4 linked regions of the Caenorhabditis elegans genome follow. The protein of the gene in region 1 interacts with the protein of each later gene in a pairwise test. Each region holds a gene or a part of one and is shown in the gene's direction. Other genes may lie near its edges.

Region 1 (2,807 bases):
AGAAGCCATTCCAACAACTCCCTGGCCTTCAGTCACACATCAACCAATGCCTGGATTGGTTCAGCAGGTGACTTCAGTAATAACTTTCAGATCCAAAGCATATTTTCAGATCCTTTCCAACTACAGTGAAGTCGAGGGATGCGTGAAAATATGTTTGAAAAACTACACTCTCGATGAAGAAATTGAAGAGACCATTACGACTCCAGTTGCATATATTCAAGGAGTTACTGCCCGTAAGTATTATATTCAGTCTTAAAAGGAGTTGAAGAATGTTAAGATTGCCGACTTCAAAACGTTGGAAAACCTGTGTTCCATTCTCATTCTACAACATATTATGGAAGCTGGATGAGAGATGCATACCCTCCAACCGGCGATGTAAGTTTGGGAGCTTGAAAATGGAACTGAAAAATTTGCTCACACTTTATTCAACTCTTTCTGTATGTATGTTCGTGGTTCATTTTTCGGAGGCGTTTTCCGGTCGAGACGTTCGGGCATGAAAATGCTAAAAAACCGGGAAAAAGTAAAAAAAAGTTTGGAAAGCTGTCACAAACCGAAACTCACTGGTTCGCCGAGTACTGGTATACTGTACATTATGAGAAAGGCATATCTCAACATATGTATATCTTGTTTCAGGACGCTAGAAAACGATACGTAATGAACCATTTCCAAGGCCACGAGCTCATCGAATTTAGGAATGAAGCTGAAATGCGACGGGACCATGTCGGAAAAGTGTATGGTTTTCTTTCAAAATTTTTCAAATATTTGAGAACTTTTTATTCTTTTTCAGCCATCGCCTTCCATATATATTCGATGGAACAAATCATGTTATTTTCAATGCATCTCTTTTCTATCAAAGAGCAGGATATCCAATTATTGCAAAATACGAGTTCAACTCGAAACAGTACTCACAGTTTGAAATACCGGGAGCAGCTTATCGTGGGGATCAGGTGAGTTTTGAAATTGTTTTAAGTCAAAGTTTCCAATTTCAGTACCTTTATAATAATTCGATGAATTATTTTGACTTGGCAATCGATGAAAATGCACTTTGGGTCATGTTTCACTATCAGGAAGAAGCTTTCTTATCAGTAGCTAAAGTAATTTTAAGTTGTTCATTGAAATCTATCTACTAGGTACTATTCCAGGTGGATATAAATAATTTGACAATTTATGAGGCATTCAACCTCACGACAGTAAATCATACAGATGTTGCAAATGGAATCGTCGTTTGTGGAACAATTTATTTGGTTTAGAATTTTTTATTTGATATCAAGCTTGACCAATAGCAAAATCAAATCAACATTATTCCAGGTGGAAAGTGCATCAGAACAATCCACGTATATCTCTACGGCATACGATTTCTACAGAAACACATACTCCCAACCTTTGATTAAATGGATTAATTTGTACAAGAACGCCAATATGATTAGCTATAATGCTTATGATAAGAGAATTTACATCTACGATCATGGTTATATGCTCTCTGTACCTCCACTTTTGCATTGGCTGGCTAAATAATTTGTGTAGTACATAGTTCATTTACTATATTTTAAAATAAATTCAGTTTTATTCGAGAAATATAAAGTAATTAATTTATCGTGAATATCGTGAAAGTAGCTCTTTCCTATATATTTTTTCAGGAGTTTTAGTTCCCCTTTCTCGAATTTCTGTGGTGTCTCACGCAACGACGCTCCGTTTTACACACTCGCGCGTACTTTATCGTAATTCCACAAAACCTTTTTTCCATCATTTTTCTATTAATTCCATAGTTTTCCTCGATTTTTTGTTGCAATTTCAAGCGATGAGTGGAAATCGGAAGCGAAACACATCAGAGCCTCGTGAGGACGATGAAGATGACTATTCCACTAAACGAAAACGGAATAACGAAGCTGTGAACAGGTAAAATTTCATTTTTAGCCGCTAAAATCTAATTAAAAATTCCAGAACCCGACAAAAAAAACGCCAGGAAGAAAATGACACTGCAGAAAAAGTAGACGAATTAAAAAAGGAGAACGAAACACTAGAAAGAAAGGTACTTGTTTACTTGATTTTTTAATTTTAATTAATTCCCTCTATCAGGTCGAGCAGCTACAGAAAGAGTTATCATTTCTTAAAGAAATGTTTATGGCATATGCGAAAAACGACGGAAATGATGGACCACCACCACCGCCACCACCATCTTCTTCCGCCGTGTAGATAACAATTTAATCAAAGATTTATCCACCATTTCTGTAAATTTTATACAAATAACTCAATTCACGCATTCCAATAACCAAAGAAAAATAAATTTAGAAAACGCTTTACTTTCTTTTTTAAACTGTTTTTTTTTGTGTGGTACGTTTCCAACAATTTATCTTGAATGATCTTATTAATTAACTTTTTGAATTTGTGTTGTATCAAAAAAAACGTTTCTTTCAGATGACCGAAACGGAGCAAGAAGCGTTTGCTGATTTAGTGGCAGAACTGGAAACTCAAACTGCAGAAGCAGTAAAAGCTTTCAGTAAAGTTTTCGATCGGATGGAGGAAACGAACGATGACAAAGAAGTGAAATGAAAACCTCAAGATTTATTCAAAAACTTTTTTATTTACAGGGGCTTAGTCTTCTGAAGCTGAAAAACTATGAAATGACAGCGTACCTTGGAGAGTTGACTGTCCTTATGTCGAAAATGATGAAAGGAGAGTCAATTACAGTAGAACCATCTGTTAAAAGAGCTTTAAAGCATAGAGTGGTATGTATTTTAGTATTCCAACTGTTCCTAAAAAACTAGTTTCAGTTCATTGAAAAAATGAAACCAGTCGAGGATAAGATG
Region 2 (4,141 bases), on another chromosome or scaffold:
TGGCAAGTTACCGGAATTGAAAATTTCCGGCAAATTGGCAAGTTCCCGAAATTAAAAAATGCCGGGAAATCGGCAAGTTGCCGGAATTGAAATTTCCGGGAAATCGGCAAGTTACCGAAATTGAAAATTTCCGGCAAATCGGCAAGTTACCGGAATTGAAAATTACCGGCAAATCGGCAAGTTACAGGAATTGAAAGCTTCAGGCAAATCGGCAAGTTACAGGAATTGAAAGCTTCAGGCAAATCGGCAAGTTACAGGAATTGAAAGCTTCAGGCAAATCGGCAAGTTGCCGGAATTGAAAATTTCCGGCAAATCAGCAAGTTACAGAAATTGAAAGCTTCAGGCAAATCGGCAAGTTGCCGGAATTGAAAATTTCCGGCAAATCGGCAAGTTACCGAAATTGAAAATTTCCGGCAAATTGGCAAGCTGCCGGAATTGAAAATTACCGGCAAATCGGCAAGTTACCGGAATTGAAAATTTCCGGCGAATCGGCAAGTTACCGGAATTGAAAATTTCCGGTGAATTGGCAAGTTGCCGAAATTGAAAATTTCCGGCGAATCGGCAAGTTACCGAAATTGAAAATTTCCGGCAAATCGGCAAGTTACCGGAATTGAAAATTACCGGCAAATCGGCAAGTTACAGGAATTGAAAACTTCAGGCAAATCGGCAAGTTACCAGAATTGAAAATTTCCGGCAAATTGACAAGTTACCGGAATTGAAAATTTCCGGCAAATCGGCAAGTTGCCGGAATTGAAAATTTCCGGGAAATCGGCAAGTTACCGGAATTGAAAGCTTCAGGCTAATCGGCAAGCTGCCGGAATTGAAAATAACCGGCAAATCGGCAAGTTACCGAAATTGAAAATTTCCGGGAAATCGGCAAGTTACCGAAATTGAAAATTTCCGGGAAATCGGCAAGTTACCGAAATTGAAGATTTCCGGCAAATCGGCAAGTTACCGAAATTGAAGATTTCCGGCAAATCGGCAAGTTACCGAAATTGAAAATTTCCGGGAAATCGGCAAGTTACCGAAATTGAAGATTTCCGGCAAATCGGCAAGTTACCGAAATTGAAAATTTCCGGCAAATCGGCAAACCGGCACTTTGCCGATTTGCCGGAAAATAAATTTGTAGAACGGTAATTGCCGCCCACCCCTGGTGCATCTCTTGTTGCACTTATAAACAAATAGTACAAATTGACCCTCTATCAATCCCAACAATCTCAATGATCGTTATGCTTGAACTTTTTCCCCTCCGAATTTCGTTACACTTTTCCCTTTGCTTGCTGGTTGATCTTTTCGTTTAGTTAGGCATTTCATTTCATTTAGGCCCTGCTGCCGCTGTGCAAAGGCGTTTCATTACGTTTTACGGCATGCGCCTTCTTTCTAATAAAGTGTCGGCTTATCTGTCTGCCGAGAGGCTTTTCGAGAACAAAGTGCATTTAAGTGCAGCTTATCGCCTTTTCCAAATGTTGCATATTCTACGAAAAACTTTTGGTATACTGATAAGGCGATAAGGCGAGTACCGGTGGACGCTACTCGCGCCAAAAGATACGAAAACCGAAAAACCATGTTCAGTGCCAAATAATTTAGAACACGTACATAAAAAAGAAGATGAAGCGAAAAATGGACAGATTTCCTTGAAAGCCTTCAATTTTTCAGAAAAAAATCGTCTTCTCCGATGACGTGGAATCCTCATCAATCACCTGAACTCTTCTCCTCAAAAGCTGCTGCTGTGTTTTCTTTTCTCTCACCTTTTCTCTTCTTTTTTTTTCTATTTTTCGAAACAAAAATCGGAGGACATCACGGCGCACACTCTGCGGTTCCACACCCCGCGCGCTATCTCACCGCACTGCCTAACCGACCTATCTCTGCGTCTCTCACGCCGGCACGCTCTCTCCGCGCTAAGGCCCGTCACAATCGATAGGCCGCGCTCGCTGTCTAGGCCTTTCATTCTTTCACCCACTCGCGTCTCGTCGTTCGACGCGCCTTCGCTTTTTTAAGGCAATTTTTCGACGAAAATGTGGCCCCCGAATGCAGAGAATAATCACTGCAATTATAGGTTTGTTTTAAAATGGAAATTTGTAATGGAAATTGAAATTGGAATTGATAAATTTTTAGGAAAGCCGAGAAAAATTTAATTTAAAGATTTTTCTATTCAATAATTAATAAAATAAATATGCAAATATCGATTTTCGCGAGAATAAAATATTAAAAATGCAATATATTCCATAAAAAATAGTGTTTTAATTAAAAAATATTCGAAAACCCCTTTTAATTATTGGCTATTTCTCACAATTTATAATATTAGAAGCCGAAAATCGATATTTTTCACAAAAATCAATTTTTTTTTCATTGAAATAATATTTTATTCTTATTTTTGCGATTTTTTCAGGTCTTATGCGGAATTTCAGAATTTTAAATTCCAAACTTAACTACAAAAGTCCGCATTTTCTCGTAAATTGTCGTGCAAGTACGCAAACACCATCAATTAAAAAAAAATTAATTTTTTTTAAAACGTTAAAAAAAAACGTTATAAACCCGTTTTTTGAGTTTAAATTCCAGGAAAATGGGCTATTTCGAATGTAAAAAGCAAAAATATATTAATATAATTTCAGCTACCATGAGCACGCCGAGCTGAACCCCCACGACCACTACCACCACCATCACTACCCGCACTCGTCGGTTCATCACACGGAATGCTATCAGACGCTGTCATGCCCATCGGATCTTCCAGTCGAGACGTCCTACTACAATTCTGTGCCACCATCCTATCAAGGTGATCGATTATTTACAATTTTCTGCCAAATCTGTCTTGAATTTTCAAAAACCAATAAATTTCCAGATCTCGGCCAAACCGATCTCAGCCCTCAATTCTGGTGCGCCGAAGTGGATTGTGTTCACGAACGTTGCTCAACAAAGGAGATTCCACATGAGCAATCGAAGATTTTCGAGGAAATCTCGAAAGAATGCGATCATATTATGAATAGCGCCGGCGACTGCGAGAAATGTCAAGTAGAGCACGAGAATGGTGCTCAAGAAGCGATTCCGATTAATGATCTCGTCGATATTGTAATGCAAACTGTCGATAATTTGAAGAAGGAAGGCTCGTCGAATGGTAGTTTTATTCAGGATTAAAATTAAAATTTAATTATTAAAATTTCCAGATGAAACCAAGCTTCTATCCCGTAAACGCCAGCAAAACAAAGTTGCGGCCGCCCGTTATCGTGACAAGCAGAAGGCGAAATGGCAGGATCTTCTGGATCAGCTCGAAGCCGAGGAGGATCGTAATCAGCGGCTCAAGCTTCAAGCCGGACATCTCGAGAAGGAGGTCGCCGAGATGAGACAGGCCTTCCTCGCCAAACTTGCCAAAAAATGATTCTTATATTATTTATGTCTCCAGCCATTTTCCCCCACATACTTGTATATCAGTTCAACGATATTCTCTGGAAATTATTAGTAGATCAAGCAACTCGGCAGATTTGGCTACCTGGCGCACACACGTGATGCGCATGGCGCGCGCTCGCAGCTCGCTAGTTATTTGGTATCAAGCGCCAGACGCGTTCTCTGCGCGCACCAGTTGCATTTCCATTATGTATTATCATTGTTATTTTTATATTAATAAACGAATTTTTAATAATAACACGCGTTTTTCAATAATCAAATGTGAGATTATACGATTTAGGGAACTTCAGGGCTCTAAAACTTGAAAAAATTGGCCAAAATCGAGAAACATTGCGAAAAACTGTTTAAAGTATCGATTTTCTTCAATATCAGCAACATACAATTCTTTAAAATGATTATTTTTTGTAAATTCGATAAAAATTAATTTATTTTTCACAATTTCTGCCCGAAAATTGCCGAAATGACCAGCGTTTCTAGAACTAAAACAAGTGTCGTCAATTAAAATGCCGCGTCCGCAAAATGTCGTACGAAACTTTTCGCTGAGTATCAAACGTTGAATATTCAGTCAGCCAAATTTTACTACGGTAGAGATTTTACAGCCACGTACGGTTCGCCGGGCCGTGTTAGTGCAATAACAACTTTTCGGAATGTGTGTTTGCACGAAAATGGGCGGGGTTTGTTGTTTACGTTGTTTACCGTATTGAAAAGGCGCGGTATTTCAAAAAATAGATTAGCGAGAGTT
Region 3 (6,014 bases), 8.7 Mb from region 1:
AGATTTGTAACAGTTACGCAGTATTACTAGCCATTGCGTAAGTTCAAAAGAGGGACCGATGAGCACATGGTACTTGAAAGAGGATGAAAGGTCGGGAGGATGAATATTGTTGCATGAAGAGAAGTGATTTCGGATGCATGTGAAGCCTTGGTGGTAATATTAATGATATCCCTCTAATATTGAATTTTTAAGATGTGCTCTCAAACGTGAGGGTTTAATTGTTGAAAGTAAGGCCATAAAATTAAAACCCTGAATTTTAGAATACTGACTGCTGGTAATTAAATCTTCATTTCTCATTGATTTCAGGTGATTTCAGACAGCATCAAAACATTCATTCAATGTTTCAACAAATCCGTAACCCAACAAACCTTATTACCTAATGACTACCTACCATTCAAATACTTGCGTAATGATTGTCTCTTCCTCCATGTCTACCACCAACCCCTCATTCTCCTCTTCAGAAGAAGAGCCGACGTTCCAATGCACACGAGACACCTATCTCTCATAGAAAACGAATATTCAAATGCCATTGCATACGGTTGCTCTGCGTCTCGTTCTCTTCCCGTGCTCTCTAGTGTTGCGCACTGTTGCACCCTCTGATGGCCGGTGGTGACCTCTTGGAGGGCGGGCGGAAAATGCTGCCACCCTCATCCCGCATACCGCCTGTCATTTCTCGAGACAGCCGACGCGCAATCACTCTTATGCTCCGATGGGTATATGGGGCAACAGGGTGGTCCCAGTAGACCCAATTTCTTACAACTTCGTTTTTTTTTAGTTTTTGATTCTACTAATAAAAAATCATATGTAACTTTGAACTACAAAAATCGCGCAAAACTCTTAAGATGTTTCCAGTTACAATACTCTGATAAAACTTAAATTATTCACAAAAAAATATAGATTTCAAATATGACTACTGTAGAGGTCATTTCATTTCCTCCCCATCTAACGTATGCATCTTGAATTTTCTTCAGTGATCATTTTTGATTAAGAAATGTATTCTAGAGCTAAAAACTTGAATTATATTATATACTCTTTTGTAATAACAATTAGCCTACTTCAACTTTTCATTTTAAGATATGACAAGCAAAATTCCAATTATTTTGATTAAACACAACTTTTCAAACTTGTTAAGTAACTTGAGGATCCACATTGACTTTATCAGTACTCACCGCTTATCTAACAACCTCTACCAATTCAGGTTCCACCCTAATCCTAGATTGTCTCTTTCCTCCATTTCCTTTTACTCTTTTTTATGATTGTGCAAACATTTGACCTCTTTCTTTTCTACCTTCCAATATATTCTTCTGTTCAATTTAATTTACCATGGGCATATCTTTGTTTTTTTTTTGAAACGGAATTGGATGGTGTAACCTGAAACATGGCTGGTCTATAGTTGAATTTTCAAGCTTATAGTTTATGAAACTCTAAAAATGTTTTAATCAAAAGTTCAATATTGACGTACCCTATTACATCAATTAAAGGATTTTTTTGGGAATTTTCCATCTAGCCTTTGTCTTCTAGGGTTAAAACTATTCACTTAGCTTATCCATCGGAAGTTTAAACTGAAAATCAAACATTTACCTCTTCAACTCTCTTATAGTTAATAAATCTGTGTCTTTTTTAGCCCCAAATTATCACAGCAGACGCAATGGACTTTCATAGAGCACTATCGGCGCTTTTCACAAATCAAGCAGCCGTTCAACCACTGCTCGGCTCACTTGGTTTCCCATTCAACGACGGAACTTCTATTCTGACGACTGCACTTGCTGCACAGTCCGGCGGAAAGAAGTTGGACACTCCGTTGGGGATTTTACCATTTGACTCACTGCCCACGACAAATCTTTTAACACCAACCAAGAAGATCAAACTAGAAGATGAATTGTGTGCCAGTCCAGTGTCAAGCAGGTCGAGTACGGTTAGCAGTTCACACGTGAGTTGGGAAAAATTATTAGCACTTATAAAACTATTGGAATTATTTTCAGTTTTCAAGTCCCCAACGGTCACCATCACGAAAGATGTCGGTTCCGATTCCAGAAGAAAAAAAGGTTTGTTTCAATTTTTTAAGTTTCAAGTGTATACAATTCCAAAAAATCTGAAAACCAATAGAGACTTACCATGAGGTTAAAAATATTCATAAATCGTATTTGCGTGGTCTTAAGTTCAAATCACTACAGTTACGTAACACGACTCCTGTTAGTTACGCAACGACGACCGCGAGGTGTCTGTTGGAGATGGTTTATGGGTGTCAGAATTTTTGATAGTGTGAAAGTCAACTAGTATTAACGCCCCCACCCAAACTATTATAATTATAAGTTGCCTTATTTACCGTATTCCTGGAGTTTCCTCTTAGTGCGGAGCATTGTCAACGCCATTTTGTCTCTAAGCTATGCTAATGAATAATTACTCCTAACAATCCCAATTCAAAAATCCGCTGGTTGTTCCTGGGATAATGCGGTACAGACTGCCTCCAATTAAGAGCTCTTCGAGATTCGGCTCATTGTTTAGCACCACCCAACTGTTGCCATAAGAAAAAGAAGGGGTAATTACATACAGTCTACCTGACAGAGAAACCTTCATGTGTGTGGAGGAATTTGAATATGAATATACGAGAGGGGCATGACCGGACAGGAAGGGGTGTTGCGCAACTATACCCCCGTAGAGGACTTGGGCTACCATTTATATTATTCAAATGAGGCGGGAATTCAAAAAATTAAGATCAGCATCACTTCTTGTTCAGCTAGCATCAAATACTAAGTAAGCTATATTTACTGCGTCGTACAAGTACCCACATTCTCATTTTGTAAAAAAATTGTAATTTTTCGTAGCGCCAGTGCGAAATGGCCAAATATCATAGTGGCACGTTGCCGGCCAATATTCTATTTGCTTTCGGTTTTATGGCCATTTGCCTGAGTTTTTCAAACACATATTACTTAAATACTATAATAGTTAACAAATAATTTTCAACTAACAAAATGTTACCGGTTACTTTTTCTACATGTGTAATTTAAAAAAATAATTTCCACAGAATTTTCAACTTTTTGCAATTTGTTGTTTTGTCACAAAGTGCCCAGGGAAATTTATACAGATGACTAAACATGCATTACAAAAGTCAGAACTGACCAAATTTTCTGTAAATGCGAGCAAAATTTTTGTTTAGGTTCTGAGTTTAAAAACATTTCAAACATGTTGCAAACATTCGTGATGTAAGTTTTCGTTACAAAAACTATTATATAAAGCTATTTAATAGGATTTTTAAAACATGCTCAAAATCTAGAAATTTGAGAATCATGTTCAATCCTCTGTATTATTTTTCCTGGTCGATTGATGACAGAACTGCAAATGGCAGAGTGTAGAAAAATTGGTGCAAATTATTTTCTTATTAAACTTTGTTTCATGAGCACAAAGTTGTGGGTCACTTAGCAATTCTAGTCAAAATATAGTCCCGGCTGATTTCAGCTGATGTAGCTTTTTTCGTAATAAAGTTATGTAAACCAACATCAAGAGTGTAGACAAAATGAACGGCAACATTTTGTTAATTAAAAATATTTTGCTAGATGTTATCGTATTCGAGTTATACTTGTTTGAACAACTCAAGCAAATCACCTTAAAAGCGAAAACGAATAGAATATTGGTCGGCACTGTATATGTTGTCGTTTTATGAAACTTTAATGTCCTTCTGTAACAAAAGACTCAAACTTTTTTGGCCTAACGCATATTACATCTAAGTTTTCTTTTACGGGCGGTGCCCCTCCGAGCATAAAACATACGGAAAAATATATAGAGGGGTCGTACATTTTACACAACAAAACCCACTCATTCTGGTGAACGGCATACGGTGGTTAGAAGAGAGGCTTACACAAAACACAACTGTCACACCGATTTTTTGAATAAACTTACGTGAATATGAGATACTTTTCCTTTGATATTTAATATGGGATTTGCGATAATGTGTAGCTCTTGTTTTATAAAACGGAATAACTTTGGCATATTCCTTAATAAAGTATATGAAAACTCAAAAAGTCGCATAAGAAATAACTAGTAGTGTATGTGTGCTTCATATCTTTTCGGGGATATGAAATATTAAAAACGTACAACTAATGAAATGTATAAAATTATTTAATTATTGTATTTTTGCTTAAAAAAGTTCTTCTAAATAATTTATCTTGAAGCTACATGGAAAAATGGGGAAAAATGGTATCATCAAAATTTCGGCCTAGCGTACTTCAACTGACCCTAACTCAAAAACAACAAAAGATACAGAACAGTCATCAACTAACACATTGTAGTGCTTGAAATGCTTGTTAATTTTGTAGTTGATCATTTTTTCATATCTTTTACGTTTCAGGAGTTAGCGTCGTTCAAAGTTTAAAAAGTCATGTTTGCAAGCATTTTCGGCACTTTCAACTGATATTGTTGTATCGATACGCTATGTATGAGGATGTTATTACACTAATGTGCTAAACTAATAGTCTATTACCTGAGGGTGTATAAGTTTTCGATTTCCCAAAGAAATGACAAAAATCGGAAAAATTAAATGTTTTGATCGGCAGAGAACGGAGTTGGAAATAATCTTAACGGTGCCCATCATGGCTGATATTGATAGGCTTGTCATTCTAACTGTCTTCTATATATCCACAAAAAATATCCTAGAAAAAATCAAAACTGAAAAAAAAACGACAAAACTTATTTATCACCCTAATAGAATTATGATTCTTTGCTAGGCTAACTGTGCTTAGAGATTTATTAATTCCTAGTTGATAGGCTTTTCGCAAATTGTGTATTACTTTTGTAGACTAATAAATTCCTAGTTTCTGAAAACTTAACAAATCACAATTAATCTCAGCAATTACAGGACTCTGCATACTTCGAGCGTCGGCGCAAAAACAACGATGCAGCGAAACGTTCGAGAGACGCACGTCGTCAAAAAGAAGAACAAATCGCATCAAAAGCTCATGCTTTAGAACGGGAAAACATGCAACTACGTGGAAAGGTCTCAAGCTTAGAGCAAGAGGCCGCGCAGCTCAGATTTCTCCTCTTCTCCAAAATCTCACCAGCAAATTCTGAAGTGTCCTGCGAGTCAAACGATTCAACGGAAACTAATGATTCTAATGATTCTAAAAGCGATTCAACCATTGAAGTATGAAATTGTTTGTATTTCATATACCGGACGCTTAAAAAAAGATTAGTGTTGTTTACGCACTTTTGTTGTAAATTTACAGTCGTTACTTCAAAGCTTCTATTTATTTGAATGTTTCTCTAGGTTCTTGAAATTGCTTTATTTTTCTTTCCTTAGCTTTAAATCGGTTCTCTATACCACCCATTCATCTTGATCTATCTCTTAAGCTTTCATTCTCCCTACCTCAATCCCCTATCAGGTTATTCATCTGCGGGTGCGTGTATATTTCCTGATAGTTTTTCAACTTATCATTGATGATTTTTCTACAAATTCTTATTTTGACAATAAATATTGTGTATGCATTTTATGTACTTTTTTGACATTTTTTTTCTAAATGGTTCAGAAATATATGTATTTGATATATTATAGTACACAATATAATAAGATCTGTAACCAACTTTGTAATATTTTGCACTTTATAATAGTTCTAAAAGAATTAAACCTGAATTTTTTAACTCGGAATATATGAATGAGTTTTAAACAATTCCAAATATTTACATTCTTGACTTTTTGTAGCCATTAATTTATTATAAACTGTAGAAGTGACACTTGTCACTATCTAAAATTCGGTGTGCTAGGCAACACTCCTAAGTTATTATTTGTTGCTCCTCGAATTTCAAAAAACTTCTCAAAATTTATGGCGGTTCAAAATTTCGAAAAAGTACACTGATTATAGCTAGCATCTCAAACTTTGCTTACTTTTCTGTGTCGCATCTGTCCGATGTTGAATTTTTTGGAATTATCGTCTTTTATTGCATTTTTTGGTATTTTATTTTTATTTTTTTATTGTTTTATTTCGTTAATTAAACCGATAGGTAATCAAACATCCTCTATATTG
Region 4 (7,769 bases), on another chromosome or scaffold:
AGAAAATCTGAAAATCTGAAAATCCTACTCTAAATAAATATAATTTCAGATTTTCCGGATCCACTGAAGAAGACCACAAGAAAGGAGATGAAGCCAAAAAATGATTGATTTCTCTGTGATTTTTTTTTCAAAATATTTTTCCCTTCAACTTATCCCTCTTCCTCGTCAACATTTTTCTGTCAAAAATCTCCTCACTTATTAATAAATGGCTAGACTTTCATCTTTCAACTTTACATGACTTTTTCGCAAAAAAATTTGGAAAGTTCATACATCATTTCAAAGTCAAAAATTTTGAAATTCTCTTATCAATTTTTTTTACAGAAAAAAGTCTTGAAAACTCACGTAACACAGTTTTGTTACGGATATTTGTTGCATAAAAAAGTAGGTAGGTACTAGGTACGTATAAGGTAGGTACGTATAAGGTAGCTACGTACTAGGTAGGTACTATGTAGGTACCAGGTAGGTACTTAGTAGGTACTAGGTACGTGCTAAGTAGCTACCAGGTAGGCACACCATAGACACTTTTTAGGTAGTAGGCAGGTACTAGCTAGGTATTAGCCAGGTACTAGGCAGGTACTAGATAGGTACTAGGTAGGTACGAGGTAGGCATTTAGTCACAATTGTTTTATTAATCCGAAAACTTTACTATTTCTGGCATTACACTTTTCACTTTTTTTGAACTTTTCAGTATCTACAACTCTCAATCAAAATTTGTTTTTTGCTCATTTTATCAGTACTTTGTTCGGGGGAACTTAACTCGGACAAGACGTCCATTGCTGACGCGTTTCTCGTGCGTACTTTGCAGACCGAAACCGGGTGGGTTGATGAGATCAGTGATAGACACCAGTTTTATCAATTCTGTCTCTTTGTTTTGTGTATTGATTTTTTTTTGAAATTTTTTTTTGAATAGAAAGTCGCAATTTTGAATTTTGCTTTAAGTTGGTATGATCTTTATGTTTTTCAAAAAGTTGTGGTGAATTTAGAAAAAAATAAATAAAGTTCCAGAAATGCGGAAAATGATGCAAAATCATCAGAACACACGATTTTATTTCTCTGCATCACTAATTCTCTTTAATGATAAAGAGATGGGAAAAAGATCAAACTATCACCACCTGTTTGTTTCCCAAAAGTCAATTTTGCAACAAAAAATAAATTTAAAATTTAAATTTTATCTGTATTGATAACAGATATGAAAAAGTTGTCAACTATCAAAACCTAGAAAATTAAATTTTTTAGGTACTAGGTAGGTACAAGGTAGGTACTTGGTAGGTACCATGTTGGCACTAAGTAGGGTCTAGGCAGGTACTAGGCAGGTGCTAGATAGGTACTAGGTAGGTATTAGGGAGGTACTAGGAAGGTACTAGGAAGGTACTAGGAAGGCACTAGGTAGGTACTAGGTATGTGGTAGGTAGGTATTAGGATAGGCACTAGGTAAGCACTAGGTAGGTCTTGAGTTGGTACTAGGTAGGTACTATTTAGCCACTAAGTTGGTACTTGGTAGGCACTAAGTAGGCACTAAGTAGGTACCAGGTAGGCACTAGGTAGGCACTTTTTTCTTGTTCCTGATCACCCAGAAGCCAATCATAATCCTATTACAGTTTGGTCACAGTTTAACAAATGATAAAAATCCTCGAGTCAACAAAAAGTGTAGTCAATCGTCTACCTTTTTTGCATTTTGTGCTCGATTTTCTTGATTTATTGATGAAACGTCAATAAATAATCCCTCCGTTATCACCACCATATTTCACTGAATTCTTGCATACCCCTTCTGTGTTAGGAGCCGCGCTGATAACGAGCTCATTGAGCCCTCCGGGGGCTTCTCACACACTCGAACTTGATTTTATTAGTTGTTTGTGCACGTTTTCATAGGTAAAATTTGAAATTCAGAGTAGCTTTTGGTGGATTTTTTAAAGCATTACCGGATGATGGGGATCTCCTGACACGGTTTGTGACAGTAGAGGTAGGTATTTTTAAGTGACAACATAAATTTTATCAGTTCTACGTGAACTTTTTGGTATTTTTATTGGTAATAGTTGGCCTGCATATATAGGTACTAGGTGGGCACTAGGTAGTCCCTAGATAGGCAGTAGGTAGATACTAAGTAGGTACTAGGTAGGTACTAGATAGGCACTTGAAAGGTACCACATAGGTAGGCGCTAGATGTGCACTAGGTAGGTACTAGGTAGATACTAGGTGGGTATATTAGATAGGCACTAGGGCGTTTTGGTACACAGTTGTAAATAGGTAGGTACTGGGTAGGCACTAGATAAGCACCAAATAGGTAAAATGTAGGTATTAGGTAGGTACTAGATAGGTACTTGGCAAGTAATATACAGGCGTTTACAGTCTTTCAAGCAGGCAGGCGTTTTTGAGACGCCTATAGGCACTGACATAGATTCGGTAAGGATTCTGTGTGACCTATTTAGACACTCACAGTACCAGCCTACCTCATAGGCCTACTTTTTGCCTGCTTGCCTACCTACCAGTATCAAAAGTTCATAGTGCAAGTGTGCTCCACCGCACCGGTGTGTGACCAAAGTGTGCTCTGAAATAGTGTCCTGTTGTTATCGGGAGAGTAGAAGAGTGAGAGCAACACAAAATGCACAGACAAGGCTCGAGAAGTACCTGTCTTCCTACAAATAATTGTTATCAGCACCGTCTCTCTTTTTCTCTCCAACCAATCAAACGGTTTCAGTTTTTTTTTCCTTTTTTTTCGGAGTTTTCCAGCCGCTTTTTATGGTAGTTTTATGATTAGATGAATTGGAATTCATTGTTTTTAATTTTATTGATTTTTTCATTTTGATAATTGTGAAAAAGTAATACGGAGTGTGTAAAAAGTTCAAAAATCCAGTTTAATGAAAAGTAGAATAAAATTTGTTTTTGAAATAGGTTGAGGGTTGTTTAAAAATGTTCAATATTTCCAAAAAGTGTCTCAAAAAGTCATACTAAATTTGTCTAAAACTTTGTAAAATGTTCTATTTTGAAAATGAGAATTTGTTGAAATATCTGTAAAGCAAATAAAAAAAACCAGAAGTGAAAATTTACAATTTTTGATTGTGTCAGCAGTTTTCAAAAGACCTATACTAAATTTTTTTTTTCATTCAATTTTGCTCCGTTAGAAACTTTTTGGTTTCAAACCATTTAGGAGCTACAGAACATTACTTTAAACTGCAAAATGGTACAAACATAAACAAAAAAAAACATAAATAAATTAAACGTTTTTTTATAAAACCAAAAACAGCAGAGATTTAAGCTATCAGATTTGAGTTTTTTTTTTGATTTTTATTTTCTAAATATTATATTTTACAGAAACTAAAAAAACTTCCGCACTGTAAATTTCCATTTTTTCCAGTGAAAAAACCTTCCCTGTCTCCAAAAATGCAGCCGTCATACGATGCGGACGACTTCATGCGGCGTGGATTTTTCGGCTCTTTTATCGGATTCCGGAAACGATCTTCCAGCAAACCAGGTGAGCTTTATGCAAAAAACGTCACTTATTCTCAAATTTTCTCACGCCATTTGATTGATTGATTGATTTTTTTTTCTGTCAAACCTAACTAATTTATCAATTTTGAAAATGTTAAGTGTTCTTTGCTCCGAGCTCTCCCTATTTGTGGAAAAAATTGCCCATTTCGTGGGCATGGCTTGCTCACCGATTTCTGGCTTCCCTCATAAATTGAAATGGAAGAGTTTAGGCCGAATTAGGCCATTTTGACTCGACCATATCTGGGGTAGATTTACGGCGCTTTGCGTGTCGCGTCGCGGCTAGTTTTTAGTTGTAAAACTAAATGTATTTGTCCGTGTGTGGAGTACACAACTTTTCCACGCGTTGTCCGGCAGGCAATTGTCAATGGAGCGCAAAAAATTCAATGAGGAAGGCCAGACCCCGTGCTTGCTTGCAAAAATCTTAATGGTCCGACAACTGCCGGATTTCGCCCACTGCAAAGTTGTAAATAGTGTGGCGTGGAACCCAGAAATTGTCGGGCTATACATATTGCATTTAAAGGGGATTTTTAGTAAAATTTTGCAAATTTAAGCTCCGCCCCTTTGTTTAAAGCAAAGTTCAAAATGTCACGAAACGTCTCAAAACTTTGCTAAAAACTACAGTACCCTTCCGAAAAATTGCATTATCTATTTGGCATCAGTCTCATACATTCTATTTCTCATCTATCAAATATTTCAATCTTCAATTTCTTCTTTCCTTTCTCTCTCACGTCACATTTTGTTCGCAGGTGGTGGTCGTAGAAGTGACCGACGAGAAGAACTGTTCTTTTTTTTTGGTTTTTTGTTTTTTGTTTGAAATCTAAGTAGTTTTCCCCCTGTTAGTAGAGCTTTTTTTCTCCAAAAAGTGGGCGTGACCACAATGTTAGCTCCGCCCAGAAAATGGTCGTGGTCTATTCATAGTTGGAAATGTGTTTCGAATTTCGGAACATCTATAACTCCGTGAAAATGTAAAAATTTATAGAAAATGGCAAAAACTTCAAAGCGGTGTTTTGAAAACTTATTTCAAAATCGGAAAGTAAACCAAGAAGTGGGCGGGGTCTATGTTCGACTCCGCCCACAAAATGGTTCATTTTTTTGTGAATTTAAGATGAAAACTCCAATTTTTTGGAATTTTGATGAGAACATTTTGCTTCGAGAGCTTCGGAATTTTTTGTCGAAATTGAAAAAAAAAACCCTAAAAATTTCTAATTTTTTTTTTTTTGGAAATTTTTCAGAAATTTTCAAGTAATTTTTTGCCGAATTTTGACATGTGCTTTTCACAAAGAAGTTCTAAAAAATTTGCAAAAAAAACGAAAACTTCTAGGAATTTTGCTTGTAAGTGTACGCTTTTTTACGATTTTCTAAATTTTTTATTGAGATTTTTTTAAAAATTGAGAAACAATTCCAGAGGTGCTTCAAAATTTGCAAGACCACATGTTTTCTTCCTATTATTTTTTGGCAGCGTTCTACTTTTTACGGTCAACATGGTCATGTTCATAGTCTGCGTCTCTTGCATTCTTACAGTCTATATCTCCAGTTCTCTGCGCATCTTCCTCTCTTTATAAGTTATCAGCATACTCACATACACCCAAACCAACTAAAATTGCATCATATTATGTTTGCCTGACACTTTTGAACGAACAAGAGAAAAAGAGAAAAAGATGAAATCAACATTTTGTTTCAATTCTTGCAGAGCCGCCAGTTCCACCAAAGTTTGCTCCGCCGGCAGCTCCATCGGTGGCTCCGAATTTTCGAGCTTCTGACTCAGCGGCTCCACACCTTTTGAGTGTCCCGTCGAATCGTACGGAATACGATATTTATCGAGAAATTGTGTCCGAAGCGGAGTATATTGAAAGATCATCGCCGGTTAGTTTAGATCAAAAATTTTTAGTTTCTGCCATTTTTTGGGACTTTTTTTCTGGTTTTTGAAACTATTTTTTGGAGATTTTAGCTTAAATTTTGGTGCACACTTTCAAAAATTGCTTCAAATTGAATGCGATTTTTTTTCGATTTTAAGAATTTGTAAATGCCATTTTCCGGTAATTCAAAAAAATTGGTGCCAGGCTGTCTCATCACGTTTTGATCTACAAAAAATGCGGGAATTTTTCGTCCAAAACAATGTGACGTCAGCACGTTCTTAACCATACGAAATCAGTTGAAAACTCTGCGACTCTTCTCACGCATTTTTTGTAGATCTACGTAGATCAAGCCGAATTGAAACACTCTGACACTACGTGAAATCTAGATATTTTGAGAAATATTTGGTTAGTTTTGGAAATCACTATTTACCTACTGTCTTGCTAAGCCTAACTTTGTAGGTTCCATTTTTTGGAAACCGTTTTTTTTGATAATTCCTAACTATAAGTAACTCAAATATTTTCTACAAAACTGGGAGAATCTCCGCCAATTTTTGATTAAAAATTCTCAAGCTTCAAACATTTTCCAGGCCTCACCAGACTTCTCGTGTCCAACAACTCCTCAACCATCCAACTACTACACCCCGCTCCCATTACCTCAACAACCACCAACATTTGACCCATCAACACTAATGCCCCAGCAACAAATGATGTTCCATCCAGGTCAATATCATATGGTTATGAGCCCGATTGCTCCGCACCCGATTCCAGTTGATACGAATGGTGTGCCACTTGGAACTCGTGAGTAACTTGAGTTTCCCTCCAAAAAAAATTTAACATAAAATTTGAATTTCCCGCCAAAATGTTTTTCGCAGAAAATTTGAATTTCCCGCCAAAACATTTTTCTTGATAAATTTGAATTTCCCGCCAAAATGCTTTTCGCAGAAAATTTGAATTTCCAGCCAAAATCGTTTTCTTAGAAAATTTCAAAGTTCTGCCAATTTTTTTCCGAGACCACGTGGTCAGTCAGAGTGTCTCATTTCGGCTTGATCTACGTAGATCTACAAAAAATGCGGGAGAAGAGACGCAGACTTCTCAACTGATTTTGCGTCTCATTTTTTTGGGGAAAAAGTTCCTGCAATTTTTGTAGATCAAACCGTAATGGATCAGCCTGACACCATGTGTGAGACTGATTGAATTTCACAAAATCTGTATTTTTGAACACCAAAAGTGTTCTTATTATTGGTTTTCAAAACCATTTCCAATAAATTTCCCTTAATTTCCTTGTAAAAAACTGGCCAAAAAACTCATTCAAACTGATTCTAACTGCCTAAAATAGAAAAAAAAACGGCAAAAAAAAAATTTTGGGGGCATTTTTCATCGAATTTCCAGTTCTGAACTCTGTAAAATTGGAAACAAAAATTAAAGAAAAAATTTCCAGAATGTCCAATGGCTCCACCACCATACTCTTCCTTTGCTCCACAATCCTCATCATCTGGAATGCTTCAGCAACAACCACAGGATCTAGTGATTCCCCAGGACATTCCATTTGACGTGAAACGGGAGATTCAGGAGCATTTAGTGGTAAGAATTGGGGTTTCAAAATCCAAAATATGAGCTTATTTTGCAGCTCCAAAACGGCAAGAAACAAATGTCAATCGAAGAAATTGTCAAGCTCGTCGTCGTCGCCCTCAAAGATTCCCAAATCGAAGAAGGTCGTGAAGAGGAAGAGTCTCCCGAGGAAATTCTCCGACGAAAGAGAATTCAGAACAACCTAGCGGCTGCCCGGTACCGCAAGCGACAACGCGAGGCTCGCGAGAGCGCCGAGAGTGAGCTCGGTGACCTGACCCGACGGAACGATGAGCTCCGCGATCAGGTGTCCCGAATGGAGCGGGAAATTGATCGGCTGAAGCAAGCGGTGCTCGGAAGACAGTGATGAGTTGTGTTGTGATAACATGCCTACAATATGCCTACCTTATCCCCGTGACAATCTACATGAGTTTTTTTTTTGGTATTCTAATTTTATGTACAAATTTGGTATTATATTCACTTATGATTTTTGTAATTTGATGCATTTATATGAAATTTTATATTTTTTAATATATATTTTAATACAACCTAATAACCCTAATAACTATGACCAAGAATTGTTCAATTGTCGAAAATATGTGTCCGTCTCCTTCCGCAACTCGGAATCTTTGTCACACTCCACTGGAACCACCTTGACTATTGTAGTTTTCCGTGCCACTGCTACAATCTTGTTGGAAAATGGACAAAGTTCATAGTTCCTCCAAGCATCGACGGAATGGATCAGTGTCGGGCCAATGAATGAGGGGCCTCTGGAAATTGAAAATGTATTAGTAATAGATGCGTATTCAATTTTGTCCCCGCGGGGACTGGGCCGAGCCCGGCAGCAGTGCAACGCCAGGA

What was found.
Region 2: the proteins of cebp-2 (region 1) and zip-11 interact in binary tests that used the Caenorhabditis elegans proteins (3 or more experiments, as listed by UniProt).
Region 3: the proteins of cebp-2 (region 1) and ces-2 interact in binary tests that used the Caenorhabditis elegans proteins (3 or more experiments, as listed by UniProt).
Region 4: the proteins of cebp-2 (region 1) and zip-3 interact in binary tests that used the Caenorhabditis elegans proteins (3 or more experiments, as listed by UniProt).

The regions. Positions count from the first base shown.
Region 1 is NC_003279.8:6,251,286-6,254,092, forward strand, and holds cebp-2 (CCAAT/enhancer-binding protein homolog 2), read left to right. Parts: upstream 1-1,796; 5' UTR 1,797-1,798; coding exon 1,799-1,896; intron 1,897-1,941; coding exon 1,942-2,029; intron 2,030-2,076; coding exon 2,077-2,193; 3' UTR 2,194-2,299; downstream 2,300-2,807. Other genes in the region: cof-2 (Olfactomedin-like domain-containing protein), read left to right, coding at 1-67, 110-233, 278-375, 634-731, 788-947, 990-1,094, 1,143-1,244, 1,309-1,515; lpd-2 (LiPid Depleted), read left to right, coding at 2,416-2,541, 2,589-2,726, 2,772-2,807. UniProt on the Caenorhabditis elegans protein: Transcription factor that binds to the promoter and the enhancer regions of target genes. Regulates expression of genes involved in fat metabolism, including ech-1.1 and fat-5.
Region 2 is NC_003282.8:3,309,553-3,313,693, forward strand, and holds zip-11 (Transcription factor zip-11), read left to right. Parts: upstream 1-1,723; 5' UTR 1,724-2,015; coding exon 2,016-2,056; intron 2,057-2,612; coding exon 2,613-2,773; intron 2,774-2,839; coding exon 2,840-3,112; intron 3,113-3,161; coding exon 3,162-3,373; 3' UTR 3,374-3,637; downstream 3,638-4,141.
Region 3 is NC_003279.8:14,959,879-14,965,892, forward strand, and holds ces-2 (Transcription factor ces-2), read left to right. Parts: upstream 1-1,618; 5' UTR 1,619-1,648; coding exon 1,649-1,930; intron 1,931-1,982; coding exon 1,983-2,045; intron 2,046-4,852; coding exon 4,853-5,143; 3' UTR 5,144-5,483; downstream 5,484-6,014. UniProt on the Caenorhabditis elegans protein: Transcription factor. Required to activate programmed cell death in the sister cells of the serotoninergic neurosecretory motor (NSM) neurons. Negatively regulates the activity of ces-1 which in turn negatively regulates the activities of cell-killing genes.
Region 4 is NC_003280.10:13,951,574-13,959,342, reverse strand, and holds zip-3 (Transcription factor zip-3), read left to right. Parts: upstream 1-1,762; 5' UTR 1,763-1,960; intron 1,961-3,352; 5' UTR 3,353-3,378; coding exon 3,379-3,469; intron 3,470-5,176; coding exon 5,177-5,349; intron 5,350-5,929; coding exon 5,930-6,140; intron 6,141-6,780; coding exon 6,781-6,923; intron 6,924-6,969; coding exon 6,970-7,275; 3' UTR 7,276-7,437; downstream 7,438-7,769. Other genes in the region: Protein rpi-1, read left to right, coding at 50-104; sre-44 (Serpentine Receptor, class E (Epsilon)), read right to left, coding at 7,474-7,678.